Lepisosteus oculatus: one gene and its partner. The protein of the gene in region 1 purifies or fractionates together with the protein of each later gene. This does not show direct contact. Links are inferred from orthologs where the notes say so. Each region holds a gene or a part of one and is shown in the gene's direction. Other genes may lie near its edges.

Region 1 (7,693 bases):
GCCCCTCCTCCGCCGCTGCGCTGCTACAGGCGCCGAAGAGCTGAAGTGTGACTAATAACCGTCCGCGAAACCGCTATCGCACCCGCCTGGGACCGCTGCTCTGGGGACACAGGGAGGTGGAGTGAGGGCGAGATAACACGGAACTGGGGGTGGATACATCAAATGCACGAGAGACATGCTAACGAAGCACCTTGAATTTAATTGAATTGATGAAAGCAAGAGATAACATTATTAATCGGAGCCCGACCCACTGAGGTCTGCACATGCGCTTCCCGCTCCGCCCCCCACCCCCCTCCGTACCAGCTCTTCCCGGCCGTGCTGCACGAGCCGCACGCACTGCCCGAGCGCGCTCAGCGTGTCCCCGCAGCTCGAGGGCAGGGAAGCGCAGTCAGCTCGTGCCCAGTCCCGCACGGACAGCGATTTGACAAGGCGCGCGGACAGGTTTGCACGTCTTGGAACACGTGGTTGGTAAAAACCCAGTGCAGCGTGGACAGGGTGCAAACCACGTGTTCAGTCAGGGAAACGATATAGAAATACGACAGAGATGATTTTTTAAGCGCATTACCCCGAGGCTGAGAAGAACAGGGCTAGGTGGAGAAGATCTCCCCCGTTTTTATATAATCTGTCCCATTTCTGAATTACCCAAAACAATCCCTTTTCTAATTGAGACTCTTAATATAACCAGGACAGCTACTTCTGCTGATCTTTGTGTTTTCAGAGAAGCAAAACCAGTTTACACCTTATCTAAGTAATCCTGATTGATTTTAAAAGGTGTTTAAACATCTGCAGGCAATGGAATGAAGCCAGTCATTGAATTACTTTAAACTGGATGTAAGTGAGTACATGTGAGTCTGCAGCTCCAAATCTGTTTTTGTAGAGCCAGATTAAAAGGAAGCTAAAAATCCGAAGAGAGAAAGGCTGAAGACTTTGGGAGTGAAGGACTAGGGAATCAATCAATCAATCAATTAGATTCTTATATTGTTGCACTTTCAACCCAGAGCATTCTCAAGGCACTCTACAAGTTAGAGTGCGCCAGCAATCAGTGTGTCCTCTGCAGGCGGGGGAGTGATCAGTGTGTCCTCTGCAGGCGGGGGAGTGATCAGTGTGTCTTCAGCAGGCGGGGGAGTGATCAGTGTGTCTTTAGCAGGTGGGACAGTGATCAGTGTGTCTTTAGCAGGTGGGACAGTGATCAGTGTGTCTTTAGCAGGTGGGACAGTGATCGGTGTGTCTTTAGCAGGTGGGACAGTGATCAGTGTGTCTTTAGCAGGTGGGACAGTGATCGGTGTGTCTTTAGCAGGTGGGACAGTGATCAGTGTGTCTTTAGCAGGTGGGACAGTGATCGGTGTGTCTTTAGCAGGTGGGACAGTGATCGGTGTGTCTTTAGCAGGTGGGACAGTGATCGGTGTGTCTTTAGCAGGTGGGACAGTGATCGGTGTGTCTTTAGCAGGTGGGACAGTGATCGGTGTGTCTTTAGCAGGTGGGACAGTGATCAGTGTGTCTTTAGCAGGTGGGACAGTGATCGGTGTGTCTTTAGCAGGCGGGCTGTGACTGAGCACCAGTACATGCACGACAAGGGTCGGGCCATGCAGAGCCTGAAGAGACTCATCTGGCTGTCCAGCGCCATGGGGGGTCTGCACACTGCCAGCACCCGCGACCTCAGCGACCCCAGCGACCCCAGCCCGGCGCGGGACCCCCCTGCTGAAGAGGGGGCGCACGGACCCACCACCTGCCGGGGGGAGGCCCTGCGACTGCTCCTGTCCCTCCTGGGCAGGGGCTCCCTCCAGGCCCTGTGGAGCGCCCTGTACAAGCCCCACCTCACCAGCCTGCAGGACAGCACGGACCACGGAGACGGAGAGAACTAGACCCACAGGGCCAAGCAGCTGCCAGTTTCATTGATCTGTACCGAGACCTTTGTATATTTGTATTTACAGCATGCATCCAGTGGTAATAAATTTGGTCTAGTTTAGATTTCTGACCTCTCTCTTGTGCAGCGGTAAGCGCAAAAGAAAATGTCGGTGTTGTGACGTATCCCTGACACACGTTTCTTAGTGCTGGAGCGAGATGAAAGCAGAGGCAGGTATAGCACGAGCCACAAGACAGACTGCGACACCGCCAGTGCTGCACTGCGGCCTGCCGGGCACTGATGTCAGAGAGGCCCTCTGTGCACAGAAGAAGGGCTGACGTCCTAGTCACCCGATTCTCTCGCTCAGACCCCCAAGAAAGACCTGGAGAGCAAAGCCCCCCCCCCCCCTTCTCTCTAGGGTCTCACTCGCTTGGCCTCTGATCACCCCAGGGTGATCTGTGGACTGGCCGCCTTCTCTCAGCTCACGATCGTCCGTGTGCCCCTGTCCGCTGTCCCCTGTCGCAAGCACGGCCGCTTCAGCTTTTTCAGACGAACCGGCGGAGTAGACGGCGGCTGTGGGAGAAGACTGCCTGTGCCAGAGGCTTTCTCGGGGGAGAGCTTCAGGAGCTCGGAGAGAGCCCCGGGGCCCCAGGAGCTCGCAGGGAGAAGAGCAAGCACTGCTGACAGCAACACTCTCTGAGATTTCCGCACAGCTTCCTTTTCCAAAGGCCCTACATACTCCTGCTTGACACATTTACACTTCGCTGTATGAATAGGATGCTTTTGAATCACAACTGGATTATTGTAGAGCTGTATTGGGTTTGATAAGCCGATTAAATCTTCCGCTTTGGTGAAGTTCAAGGCACCTTTCTGACAGCTCCATGTGCCCATTTCCTCCCCTCACCCTGCCTGCAGACGAGGCGTTCTGCGTGAAACACACGAGCGAGCAAATAGACATTCTGTACAGGAGAAGATTCATACTGTATGTACTGTCGGGTAACGTGATAAAAAATAAAATCTGGTGGTTACTTCCGGTGCAATTGGACCCTGTCTTTTAGGACTTTTTTGTCTCTTGTTTCTGTCAGCTTCCTGTATCACCTTCCTCGTACCACATTGCGAAGGCGCCGAGTCCGAACGGGTTACTCAGAAAGTGTCAGAAGATAAAGCCCAGTGGAAGGAAATGAAACAGATTGGATGCTGAAGCAGCTTTCTGTGTGTCTGGGTTCTCTCGTTGCCTTATCTTGGGGGAGCGGTATGAAGTGACAGAGCGATGGGAACCCCTTGCTGCCTCCTCTTGTTGTGCCCCGAAGCCCAGCACCCCAGCAGACCCAGTGAATAAAGCAGGCGTTGTGCCCTGTTGCTGGGGGGTGTGCTGTGGCCCCAGTGCCGGCGTGTGATGGCATTCGCCCGCAGTTTGAGAGTGGTGCCCTGTCTTTGCCTCCTTGTCTGGCCTTCTGCTGCCCTCTGCCTTCCTGTGCCTCAGCCTCACACTGGCGCTAGGTCGCGCCAGTTTGGTGAAGACCTGGAACCTGTCGGCTTTTACAGAAAAAAGCGCCTGTGTGTCTTTTACGGTACTTCATGTGAAGGCCGCGTTGTGTTCTGATGGAGGTGCCCTTACAAGCATTCAGTCCAGTCAGTCTGCGTGGCACTCCTGCTGATATTCCCCTGCTTTCAGAACGCTGGTACCATGACATGTTTCCTAAGGGTCACACAGAGGATTGCGGAGGATTATAGAAGCCAGGAATAATAATGCTGGAATCTGGTGTTTATGGAAAAAACATGTTCATTTTTTCCATGTGCAGAATGGTGTGTGTGTCTGTGTTAATGTGTGTGTGTTTGTGTGACAATGTGTGTGATAGTGCGTGTTTGGGTGAGAGTGTGTGTTTGGGTGAGAGTGTGTGTGTCTGTGTGACAATGTCTGTTTGTGTGAGAGTGTGTGTCAGTGTGAGAATGTGTGTGTTTGTGTGTTGTGTCTCTGTGAGAATATGTGTGTTTGTGTGAGAATGCGTGTGTTTCTGCCAGAGGATGTGTGTTTGAGAGTGTGTGTGTCTGTGTGAGAATGTGTATGAGAGTGTGTGTGTCTGTGTGCGAGACGGTGTGTGTTCATATACTTCTTTAACTTTCCATTTTTTGCAGGCATCTAAATGAATGTATCGGTTTTGCATCCACGCACTGGCCGAGCCCGTTCGGACTGCGGTCTGTGAGTTAGCGCACTGTATTTTCCACTGTTCCAGGCACTATTTTTAGCCTTTGAATGAAAACTCTCAGCACACTTCCCACAGACAAATAGCTACTACGCGGCTGCTTTTTTTTATCAGATTAGTACAGGACATGTTGTACTACTTTACTTCCTCACTGCGGTGTCCTGGACTGAACTCCTCTCTCACGTTTTGTCCTTCTTGCTCTCAAACACACAGGCGGCGCCCCGCTATCTGCAGAGAGACAGAAGGGGGAGAGGGGAAAGACAGGCCACAGTGCCTGGCTCCTCGAAGCAGGACACAGGCTGTGCTGCAACTGGATTTCACAGCTGTAGCACTGAGACTGTCACACTAACAAAACTCCGCAGACAGCAAGACTGGCTGCTTGCATTTGTCAGAAGAAATTAGTAATGAGCACTTCCTTCCTCTCTGTCTGTGAATGCAAAAGTGATACGGTAAAAACAGACTCCGTAATTGTTTTGTTTTTAAACCTCGATTGCGCATGCATATGAAAGAGTTGTGAGAACAATTAAGCAGTTCCAGTGACCTTCTCCACAGCTGAAATAACTGTCTGCAGCAGGACCCTGCGTCTCACTCGGCGCCAGCAGACAACCTGTAATTGTCTGTTCCAGTCTGAAGGCACACCAGGGCTGCAATTGCATGCAGGCATGCTTTGGTCCCTGCTTGAAGGACATGAGCGCTGGCGTGTGTGGCTCTCAGACACTCTCAGGGCCGATTTCATCACTTCTCACACAAGTAGTCGTCTAGCAGCCCGTCACTAAGGAAGCTACAATGCATGGTCTGCACACTCGTCCCACACCTGGGAGGGAGGCTGGGGATCTGGTCAAGCAGTGGAATAAATGAAGAAGTGGCTTCTGGGTGTTTGTGCAACATAGATTTGAATTTCTGAGTGTTCACTCAGGCCAATACACTTGCAGGCAATGCCTTCTCTGCCATGTGACCGCCGTGGGCACAGGTAAGGATCGACTGTTTCTGATCAGCGGGGCTGTGGGTCCCAGCTTTGTGGTTGCATCTGAGTGGAAACACTGTGTGTCACTGCAGTGCTGATGCAGGGTCAGTGCACCACTGGGACCTCCCTGGTCTGGGCCTGGTCTCCAAACAGATCAGAGCGCATGGGAATAATTGCTGGGGGTATGAGCCTGGGGTCCTCAGAGACAGAACCTGTCTGTGTTTTTAGACTAGGAATGTGTATCACCCTGACCATGCAGCAGGCAGTGTCGGGGGAGAGCTTGCTCATTTGTATATAACATAGAAAGAGACAGAGCATGTACTGCGCAGCTGTGATGAAAGCTCCTGAGCTATTTCTGGTTGCAGTTAGTAAATGCACGGAACACAATGTAACTTATGTCAAATATCATCTGCCCACGGTGATCTCACTCGGGAAAGTGATGGTGATGTGTTGAGTCTGTGTCCACAGTCATTTATTTTAATCAATCACAGAGGTGTTTTTCTCCCCATGCCCTCCAAGACAGTTCACAAATTTAGTGCCAAGAGACCAGTGAGATTTCAAAGGTGCTCTGCATACTTTGTACAGTACTGAAGAACATGCCGTACAACTCCTCTTTACAAACAGAGCACTCACAGCACAATCATGGTGAAACACAGTACACACGAAACGATCATGGTGAAACAGCACAGTCATGGTGAAACACAGCACGATTACAGTGAAACACAGTACACACAGCACAATCATGGTAAAACAGTACACACACAGCACAATCATGGTGAAACAGCACGCACATGGCACGATAATGGTGAAACAGTACACATGGCACGATTATCGTAAAACAATGCACACTGCACGATCATGGTAAAACTTTGGGAGAAGTGTAAATGAATTTTGTATTTCTTATTATTTTGAATTTTTGTAATTGGCTCAGCTGGACTTCCTGAAACAGCCAGTGGTGACAAACATTCAGGGTATCGGATCGGCATCACGACCTCAGGTCAAATACCGAGACCATCGGAATGTCACTAAGAGTGTGTCACAAACCGAGTGTGACTGTCCCCGAGGTAAGACAAAACTGTCAGAATGTTTTCCGTGGTAAATTTAACAGACAAGTAAAACATTTTGACACCCCATTGCCTACTGTCAACAAGGAGCAGATTGTCCGAGATCACCCAGGGAAGGTTTTCTAAAACCTCCCTGAACGCGCACCCCGGACCCCCAGACAAGCCGCTCGCAGCGGCCGACAGAGGCGGGACACCGGCAGACTTTGGAAGAAACTGCAGCCCGACAGCAGGCACAGAGGCGATCCTCTGCTGGTGAACAAACAAGACCCTTCTACTGCGGTTTCTCTCTCCCAGAGAGGAAGAACAGCGAGACGGGCGAAACGTGAAAACGATTTACAGGGCAGCAGTATGTACAGAACATTTTGCAAAGTTCTTCAGCTAAAGGAAACTGATTCGTACTACAGTTATCTGTGTTTTAGTATCCATGATAAATATCCATTGTACTGTATATAGAAATTACACGAGCGCCAGTGGCCCCGCCCCTGTCTCGCGTCCACCTGTACTGTCACTGTGCTTCACGAGCACATTCTGTTCCAGCTCCGCTTGGCTCGCGGCCAGACTCGCTGCACAGCAGGCTGCGGCTGCGCGGTGCTCGGTGAGGGAGGCTGCGGGGGGGTTGGGGTGTATGCGGGGGGCGGTGTCATGTGGGTGGGCTGTTGGCTGGGCGAGTATTGCCCTCCAGAGCCACCCCCCCCCCCCGACGTACACACCCACAGTCACACACACTTCCACAAATATACACACACTTTAACACTTCCACACTCACTATCACACTAACATACACACACTAAACATACACACGCTCTCTCACTCACACATACTAATAATCACACAGTCTCACACACTATCATAAACATCATATCATGTACACACGCACACTCACTCCCTCAGGGCTCTGGTCTTGAGTTGTGAGTTCAGATGGGACACTGTTACTGCCCACCCCAGACAGGAGTTCAGCTCACACTGGAGTTTGTTCACTGAAGATGAAAGGCAAAGGCCCGAAACACTTGAATTTGCTTGTGGATTTGAATATAATGCACATACTGTCCTTGGTTCTGTTCAGCGCTGGAAGCTGAAGTCTGGAATTAAATGCCGCGTAAAAACACAGGGAAGCGCATCCGTGTCTGGAATGGCAACAGGAGGAATGAACAGTCATGCCGAAGCTGGAAGTAACAGAAAGCATGGTAGAGAAGTGGCTCTGTTATTTATAGCCATTTCGGTTCCTTCAGTTCTTGTCTATAAAGACTCAAGCCCAGAGAGCAACATCTTGACACTCCTTTGAGCCGCTTGGTGTAGCGGCGCAGAGCAGTGCGCAGAGTGGCTCTCTAGGGGGATGGTTTAGGGGGATCAGGGGGATGGTTTGTCCCTCATGTCTAGCTAGTGGCAGCAATAGCTGTTTGTTCCGATCAGGACTCCCCCAGTAAGTATGGTCCCCAACCCCACCTCTAGAGCCTGCTTTGTGTTTCAAGGGAGACCTTAATCACTGACACTAATTGATGCCATTAAGTGATCTGCTTGCTTGTTTGGGGTTTTGTTCACCTGTTTCTGCATTCAGTCCAGATTTTAAACATACCTAGCTTCTTCCAAGCACGTCAGCACACACAACATTATGCAATCT
Region 2 (7,224 bases), on another chromosome or scaffold:
CTCATACAACGGAGACATGAGTTGCCATAACACAAATGGGTGCAAATGACAGTTGTGGGTGCACGATCCTTGGTGAATGTGACCCTCTTATTTTCAACACTGACTGTCTGGCTTGAAAGTGTGGGCGAACAAAGCAACAGTTGTGCTTTGGGGCTGGGCTGGACTGCCCAAGGTCTGGCAGAGTACGAGCGGTGTGGTTTCTCACATGGGAATGGGCTTCCTGGAGATGCATTCTTTCTTGTTACCATCAATAGCATTCCCCACCAGTGTTACCACAATACATTCCTTGTGAGGGGGGAACAAAGGGCTCACATTCCTATGGAATCTGCTATCAAGTCATAGCGCTCAAGCCTGAGGCACTACACTAGTAAGCTGTTATAAATTTGCACAGCAGCTTTGTATGTCTACCTGTATCATTTTATCAGCATCGCCGAACTCCAGCTGAACAGTTACTACAGCTGCAGTACGAAATCTCTTTTAAAAATGTGTCCGAATAAACAGAACCAAGTGATTTTTAAAGCAAAAAAAAAATAGCCACCACCCCTTTGGAAAAGCCTGCTGTTGCCTTAAGCAAGCACATTCTTCCAACTTTGAGCCCATTTTAAAATAATTTAAACATGTAGTGAGAATAGAAATCATGTTTGTCGCTTCCAAGTGCTACTACATTTTCAGCTCTGATTGCACTACTGACTGGGTGCCAATGCAAACCAGCTGATGTGGCTCAATGGCATAATCTGCATAAACATTTATGCACAAATTATTCATCAGGGTACTATAAAATTCAATAATAAAGGACAGTAGTTTTGCTGTTGCTATGCAGTTGTATGATGTTTGCACTAAAGCGTACCCATAGCTGTAGCCTACATTAGTGGTTTGCTTTTTGATCATCATTAAGCCTGTGCCAGATGTGGTCCATCACCATTGCACTCTTACACGCCTGAATTTATAAAGGCACCAGGCACCATTATTCCAAACTCAGGTGTGCAGTGTTTGTCTATTTTTCCTTCTATCCTTCTTCCCTGTCTTTTTATTGTTCCCTGTTTATGTCCTTTTTCCTTGTACTGCTGACTCAGACATTCCCCCTGAAAATGCTTAATAGTCATTTTTATATGTGGAGCTGTGATACTTTTTACAGTGAAAAAAATAGACAGCTGAGATATGTGCATGGAGGGAGACACAGTGGTACAAAAATGACCATGTAGTAAAAGTGGCAGGAAGGGAACCATGATGTGTTCCGAATGGACCAGAGTGCTGATGTTTGGCACTTGTGCTGCCAGTTATGGGAGGAAGCTTTGCTTAGTTGTCAAGCACAACTTCTATCCTTTAATGTACTTGACTGATTTCAGGAGTCACCAGCACAAGGAAAAGCTACTAATTCACAAAGCCAGACAGACAGGTTTTCTTCCAGGGTTTTATTTTTCTGTGGAATTGCAGTGATGGATGTATGACAAAGCTCATTAATGCCAAACAAAAAGCATGTTAACAGTATGTTTAGAATCATAGTGAAGTCAAACTATAGTGTCAGTGTTAAATTCTTAAAGTGTAATGGTTTATGTGCAGGATCTCTATTTTAAGTATTATCCTGGTCTTTATACTGGTTCTATCAAAAACAATGTTGTGATGCTGTTTAGCATTTTTCTCTCAGTGCCACACTTCAAATTTGTTTTTTGCTAACGGTGTGTCACAACAAATACAATTTCACATCTGTCTGATATTTTTTAAATTCTGCAGCAACCGACAAATTCGCCCTAGTTTTAACAATAGAAACAGTGTCCTAAACATAAATAAAAAAACATTGTTTTAACATAAATACAGTGTGCTACAATTGATAAAACCCATACAATGGAAAACTGAATTGTTAAAATAATAATGATATCCTTGGGCAAAGATTGCTTAACCATCAGGAAGGACAACTAAGGACTAAGCAGCAATATTTTTTATTTATTTGGAAGGTCAGCTATATCCCAGGGTCTTTATGCCATTGATCTGTTACAGTGAACTTCAAAAGATCATTGTCAGTCATTAGGACTAGTGCTTGCGGGCACTTAAAATGTCCTTGGAGTTGTTTGAAATCCTCACTTTTCAGCTGTTTTATTCTGTACAACCCCAGTCTCCAGCTTGTGGCACAATAGAAAAAAGGGAGTTTGGATGCTGTTGACTGCAGCCTCTTGTCTTGGAGCTTTCTGGTCACCGTTTCAGTCAGGGGATTTCCTCAGAAGAGTAGACGCACATCTCGGAAAACCCAGCATTTTGGCCGAATTCATCACACGACTCCTACTTCTAAGAATACCTGACTATTCGAAACTGAAAATGGAAATGCACTGCATAACTTTAGAGGGGGAGGGGGGTGGTACTTCCCACAATTACAGGATGCTCTTTACATGTGTGGGCAGTTTCAGATACTAGGGTTGCCAGAAAAGAGATCTATCTTGACTGTCTGTTACCAAAAAAGGTGACATACATATTTAGAAAGTATTTTTGGTAGTGTAGTTCTGATTTATACTCATTATTTTCATTCATTTTAACTGTATCACAGACAGCTGTGCACCAATTGTTACATTCACTGACTATCAAAAAAGCAACTTAATAATAACCAGATGTAGTCATATGTGACATCATACTATCTAATTTGAGACTATAAATCTTTGGTTTCTATTTTTTAAGATGTTAATTCCAAAACCAGAGCTTTTGTTCTTCTGTTCTTTTCAAACATTTCTTCCCCTAGCCTCACAATCACAACTAATTAGTTTGCTTCAGCTTAATTAATTGCCTTAGCGCTGCTCTGAGACATATTTGAATTAATTAATTGTATGTCTAGATCACAAGGATTAGGTGTCTTCTGAATATTGAAGTGATGCAGAATAATGATAGAAAGAGGCTATCAAGTCATCAATTATTATTACATTTTTACTAACGTTTTTTTCAGCAGGTGTGTTTCACATATTCTGTATTAAAATATCTGGTGAATACCCAAGAGACAGCTCCAATCATTAGGTTTTGTTTTTAAAAATCACTTGATCTGCACTACATAATTAGAAATGTATCTGCTGGTTATAAATGACAATGTGAATATACCTAGATCATAGAAACCAAACCATTATTATTTCGGGTGGGAAGCTGCCCCAGCATGCGTAGGCTGCAAAGGAACAAGTAATAGGTTTATTCCATGCTGAAAAGAGAAGAAAGAAAACTCAACATTTTGGCTCACACCCGAAGAAGGCTTCACAGCTGAAACGTTGTGTTTTCTTTCTTCTCTTTTCAGCACGGAATAAACCTATTACTTGTTCCATTATGCAATTATTGTGGATATATTTAAATACTATAAACTGACATAAACATAAAATATTTTTCATCATACTGCAGTATGTTTCAGGTTACATTTTTGTTTTTTCTATCCTAACCAGTGTGACTGTGAAATACAATTTCTTAGATTTTAGCTGAAACATGTATGCATGTGAAATGTGTGTACTTTAAATAGTTTTAACCGGAGTGGCAAAGAGAAATAGTAATAAAAAAATATAACTTTTTAAGGTAACTAATAATTCCTTCTGCTTCAAGACATGTTAGGCACAGTAGCCAGAATATGAATAAATCTACAGTCTGATTCACTTCAAATGACATAAGCACACTGATGTTCTCAACACATGCATTTTATTTGTCAATTTGTGGAATGGTGGTGGTGAGGTGAATATACAGTATATTTCCTGTTTTTAGAATGTTTCTGAACATTTAAGGTTCTGTCCTGATTATTAGTTAAAAATTAACAGGTGTCAATAAAAAAAAAAACTAACCACCAAAGTCAGTCGGAAATTCTTGGAGTTACAAATTGTGATATGAGGATTCCACCAGACCAGTTAGGGGGATTAAACCAAGTATTATCTACCGTTGTCATATCTGGAATTTGCTGGTGCAATGAAGGTGAAACTAGATGTTAAAATTTGGTAAGGAAGTAAAAAAAAAGCTAAAAAGCGCACAGTCAGCGTGTTGTTATTGAACCTGATAAACTGATTTTAGGTGCTAGAGGGGAATTTTGCCGTTTACAGTTCTTTGCTATTGGAGGCTTTTAAATGCTGACTTGATTTGAAGAATCCTGTTACACAAATATGTATTTTTCTAAGGGTGGTTAAATAACGTTTGTTGTGGTGTATGCGTTAGGGTACTGGCTATTTGCTTAAATCCCGCTGAGTGGAGGCATGAAGAGTCATCATTCTTCATTCTTACAAAGCAAGGCAGCCGGCGGAAAGTGAACCTTTCCGAGTTGGGGAAAAGGCAAATAAGGTGAAAGAGCATTGATCTGTCGGCTTTAGGACCCGGGAGAGAAAGGACTGTGTGACACAGGAGCAATAGAGAGACCAGGCTTGGGAGGTGTAGTGGAAGAACCAGCAAGAGAAACGGAGTAAATGAGAAGAATTTTGCAGACTATTGAAGGACATAGCAGCTTAATAAAACGCGTAGGGCGTCCATAATAATGACCCGAAGTCACTTGTGAAACCTTGGAGCAGGTAAAGTGTTGCATTTTTACTGATTGCTTTTGGTCTGTGCCCGAATGCAGCCATAGAGGCAAAATCCCATTGTAGTGAATGGGATGCGGCTATTTCTCACCCAGGCTGCCCTGGCTAGGCCCAGAGCCCAGTCAAAAACTAGCAAAATAAGATAAAAATATATGTACTATATTCCGAATTCTTCAGCGCATTTTACTTTACGTTATTTTCTGCTTTGTAACGAAGTTACTTCACTACCCAAACTTTGGTGTTCTGTTAGGCTTTACCGCTGAGAATTTAATTCTTGAAAAATTCTCTTGATTTTTAATTGGTCATTTTTTTTTGTATTGTACACCGTCGTGATCGCTTCTGAGATGTCTAGGCCGATGGTTGTATCTCTCGCCTTTCTCTGCACTCTGTGGAAGTTTGAATTTAAACGCACATCTCCGAAGCCTCAGTTTGAATTTAAAAGTCCACTCAGTGTTTGTTTCCTCACTTCACTGAGTAAAGTAAATACAGCTTCAGTAACAAGCGATTTAAAAGACAAACTTCAGTGGCCGTTTTGCAGATTTGTTCTCTCTCTTCAGAGCAACAGGAATCGATTTTCCGATATTGCCTTTGCATTTGGGTCTTTTCTAGATCGTGTCGCTTTAAGACCTTTTGCTTTTTACAACAGCCTTACATTTTTACTGGCGTTTCTTATATAAAAAAGAACGTCTTTTGATCCGTCCGTGCAAGATATTGTTAGAATATATATATATTTAGATAAATATTTATATCTCAACTCTTATGTTTAAGGTTTGGCGCCATAAACATTTAATTAGGTAGCAATGCATTTCAAATACCAAAACAGTTGTCTTTATATCTGCAAATGTTTACGTCCTACGGGGGAATGCTACGTTTTGCTACTGCCTGACGTTTAGTGTAAATAATCGGTTTTATGAAGCGCTGTCTGGAAACGTTACTGACATCTTACGCCTATGCACGATCTCGAACCCTAACTTAATCTGAGTTAATTTCAGTTTTTGCAATAGACTGTTACCCAAGTTGAATAATAAGTGCTCGATAAATTATAGCCAAGATTTCTACTAAATAGCAAATTCACCATTGTCTTAGTTTTTCAGAAATGACGAAGAGTAATCACAGGGTTATGATAAATGACATTAGCACGTGGGCAGTAGAAGACAGGTCTCCCACAGCAGTACTGAAGTGTTGTTATATTAGAACGAGCTGTCTGATTCATTTTTTATTCGGCAATCCTGTAGTAAGTTCACGCTGGAGAACCTAAGGATTCTTGCCAATATCAACAAATGGGCTTTAAAATCCACAGCAGCTTTATCTCGAGAAAATCTGATAGTGAGAAAAAAACGAACATTATCAACCGTTTCTGTGATTGTACTTTTTGTTTCGTCGTACTATCGTGACAAACATAAAAATGGAGCACTCTTTAAAATTTTAGTCGGCAGTGTAGCACAATTTTCTCTACCACAATTACACTGCACTCTCAAGTCAAATAAGTAACAACATGCTCAGTTTGCACATCAGCATTTTACTAATATTATTGCTTTATCAGTTATATCCCTTTTGAAACCTAACCCTATTAATGGCAAATAGCAAAGTAGCTATAGTCATAAAGCAAAAAAAAACCAAAACAAACAAACCTGAGTTCTCTTTTATGTGTTGCATTGTGCAGAAAGTAGCTATGTAGTGAATGTGGTCCAATATCAGTCAGGGAGGTACAGTGATGGAGGTTTCCATCAGAAAGGTGATGCAGCAGTGTCATAATTAGTCTTACATCATGCAGTCATTTGAAAATTGTACAGTCCTTTTTGATTTGGAGAATGCCCATAAACCTGAGGAGTGCAACTAAAAAGTAGTTTCTGATAGACTGAGGATATTCACTCTTACATTATACATCTAAAATCAGACACTGGAGCCTCTTTAGAGGGATGTTAACATGTAGCATCTGAGTCTTTGAGAGGCTATTTCAATTGAAATTGTGATAACTTCTTCATCTTTCAAGACCACAAGTCACACTCTTTTGTGAGTTCCTACTCGGGGTGTCTCTGCTTTCTGCTTACATTCCCTGAAAATTATTTCAGTTTCATTAGAGGCTGAGTTCATTTGCATTAGCAAACAACAACCTGGATTTACCACAGGTACTCATCTGCATTTTTTTAGTTAGTGTGATGTGTTAAAAAGGATCTATTTGAAAGGTTCCTCTTTCCTCTGTTGAGTAGACCAACTGAGGAATTTTGCCCATTTTTATTTAAAAACAAGGCTTTCCAGTTAAAATTGCCTTCTCAGCTTTGGAAAGTTCAAAGCCATTTTCACCTCCCAGTCGGAGGTTGTGTATTATGACATTTACTTCTCACTAAATGGCCAGACAGTCTTCATCACTCACAGTGAGTTGGAAGGATTTTTCTTTGTTGTGAAATCCTAGAATGCTGGGATAGCTCTGAGAGACTTTGGTGTACAATACTGTCAATCCTGGTATAGTTTAAATTTGGGCCTTGAGAACTTTGCATGCAGCAGGCCTTTGTATTCACATTGCACATGATATTAATAAATATTAGGAGAGTTTGCAGATGCACGTGTATAACTAATTGGGTGTCCTTCCTAAATCCCAGGAGCCTGGGTGCTACATTAGTGCTCCTCTATAAGCTTATCAAACTGAGTGTGTCGAAGACATGGACTGGATCTGTCCTCTCTACACCAATGTAGTACAGTGTGCCACCATTAC

The links. Proteins that work in one complex are often made in the same cells at the same time.
Region 2: the proteins of fkbp5 (region 1) and akt1 purify together in Homo sapiens (affinity purification with western blotting; 3 studies listed by BioGRID, with this or other methods). This does not show direct contact. The link is inferred for Lepisosteus oculatus from reciprocal best matches to the Homo sapiens genes FKBP5 and AKT1.

The regions. Positions count from the first base shown.
Region 1 is NC_090700.1:40,510,434-40,518,126, reverse strand, and holds the start of fkbp5 (peptidyl-prolyl cis-trans isomerase FKBP5), read left to right. Parts: upstream 1-4,672; 5' UTR 4,673-4,982; coding exon 4,983-5,017; intron 5,018-7,693. Other genes in the region: pth4 (parathyroid hormone 4), read left to right, coding at 1,535-1,862. UniProt on the Homo sapiens protein: Immunophilin protein with PPIase and co-chaperone activities. Component of unligated steroid receptors heterocomplexes through interaction with heat-shock protein 90 (HSP90).
Region 2 is NC_090703.1:17,257,971-17,265,194, forward strand, and holds the start of akt1 (RAC-alpha serine/threonine-protein kinase), read left to right. Parts: upstream 1-4,206; 5' UTR 4,207-4,502; intron 4,503-7,224. UniProt on the Homo sapiens protein: AKT1 is one of 3 closely related serine/threonine-protein kinases (AKT1, AKT2 and AKT3) called the AKT kinase, and which regulate many processes including metabolism, proliferation, cell survival, growth and angiogenesis.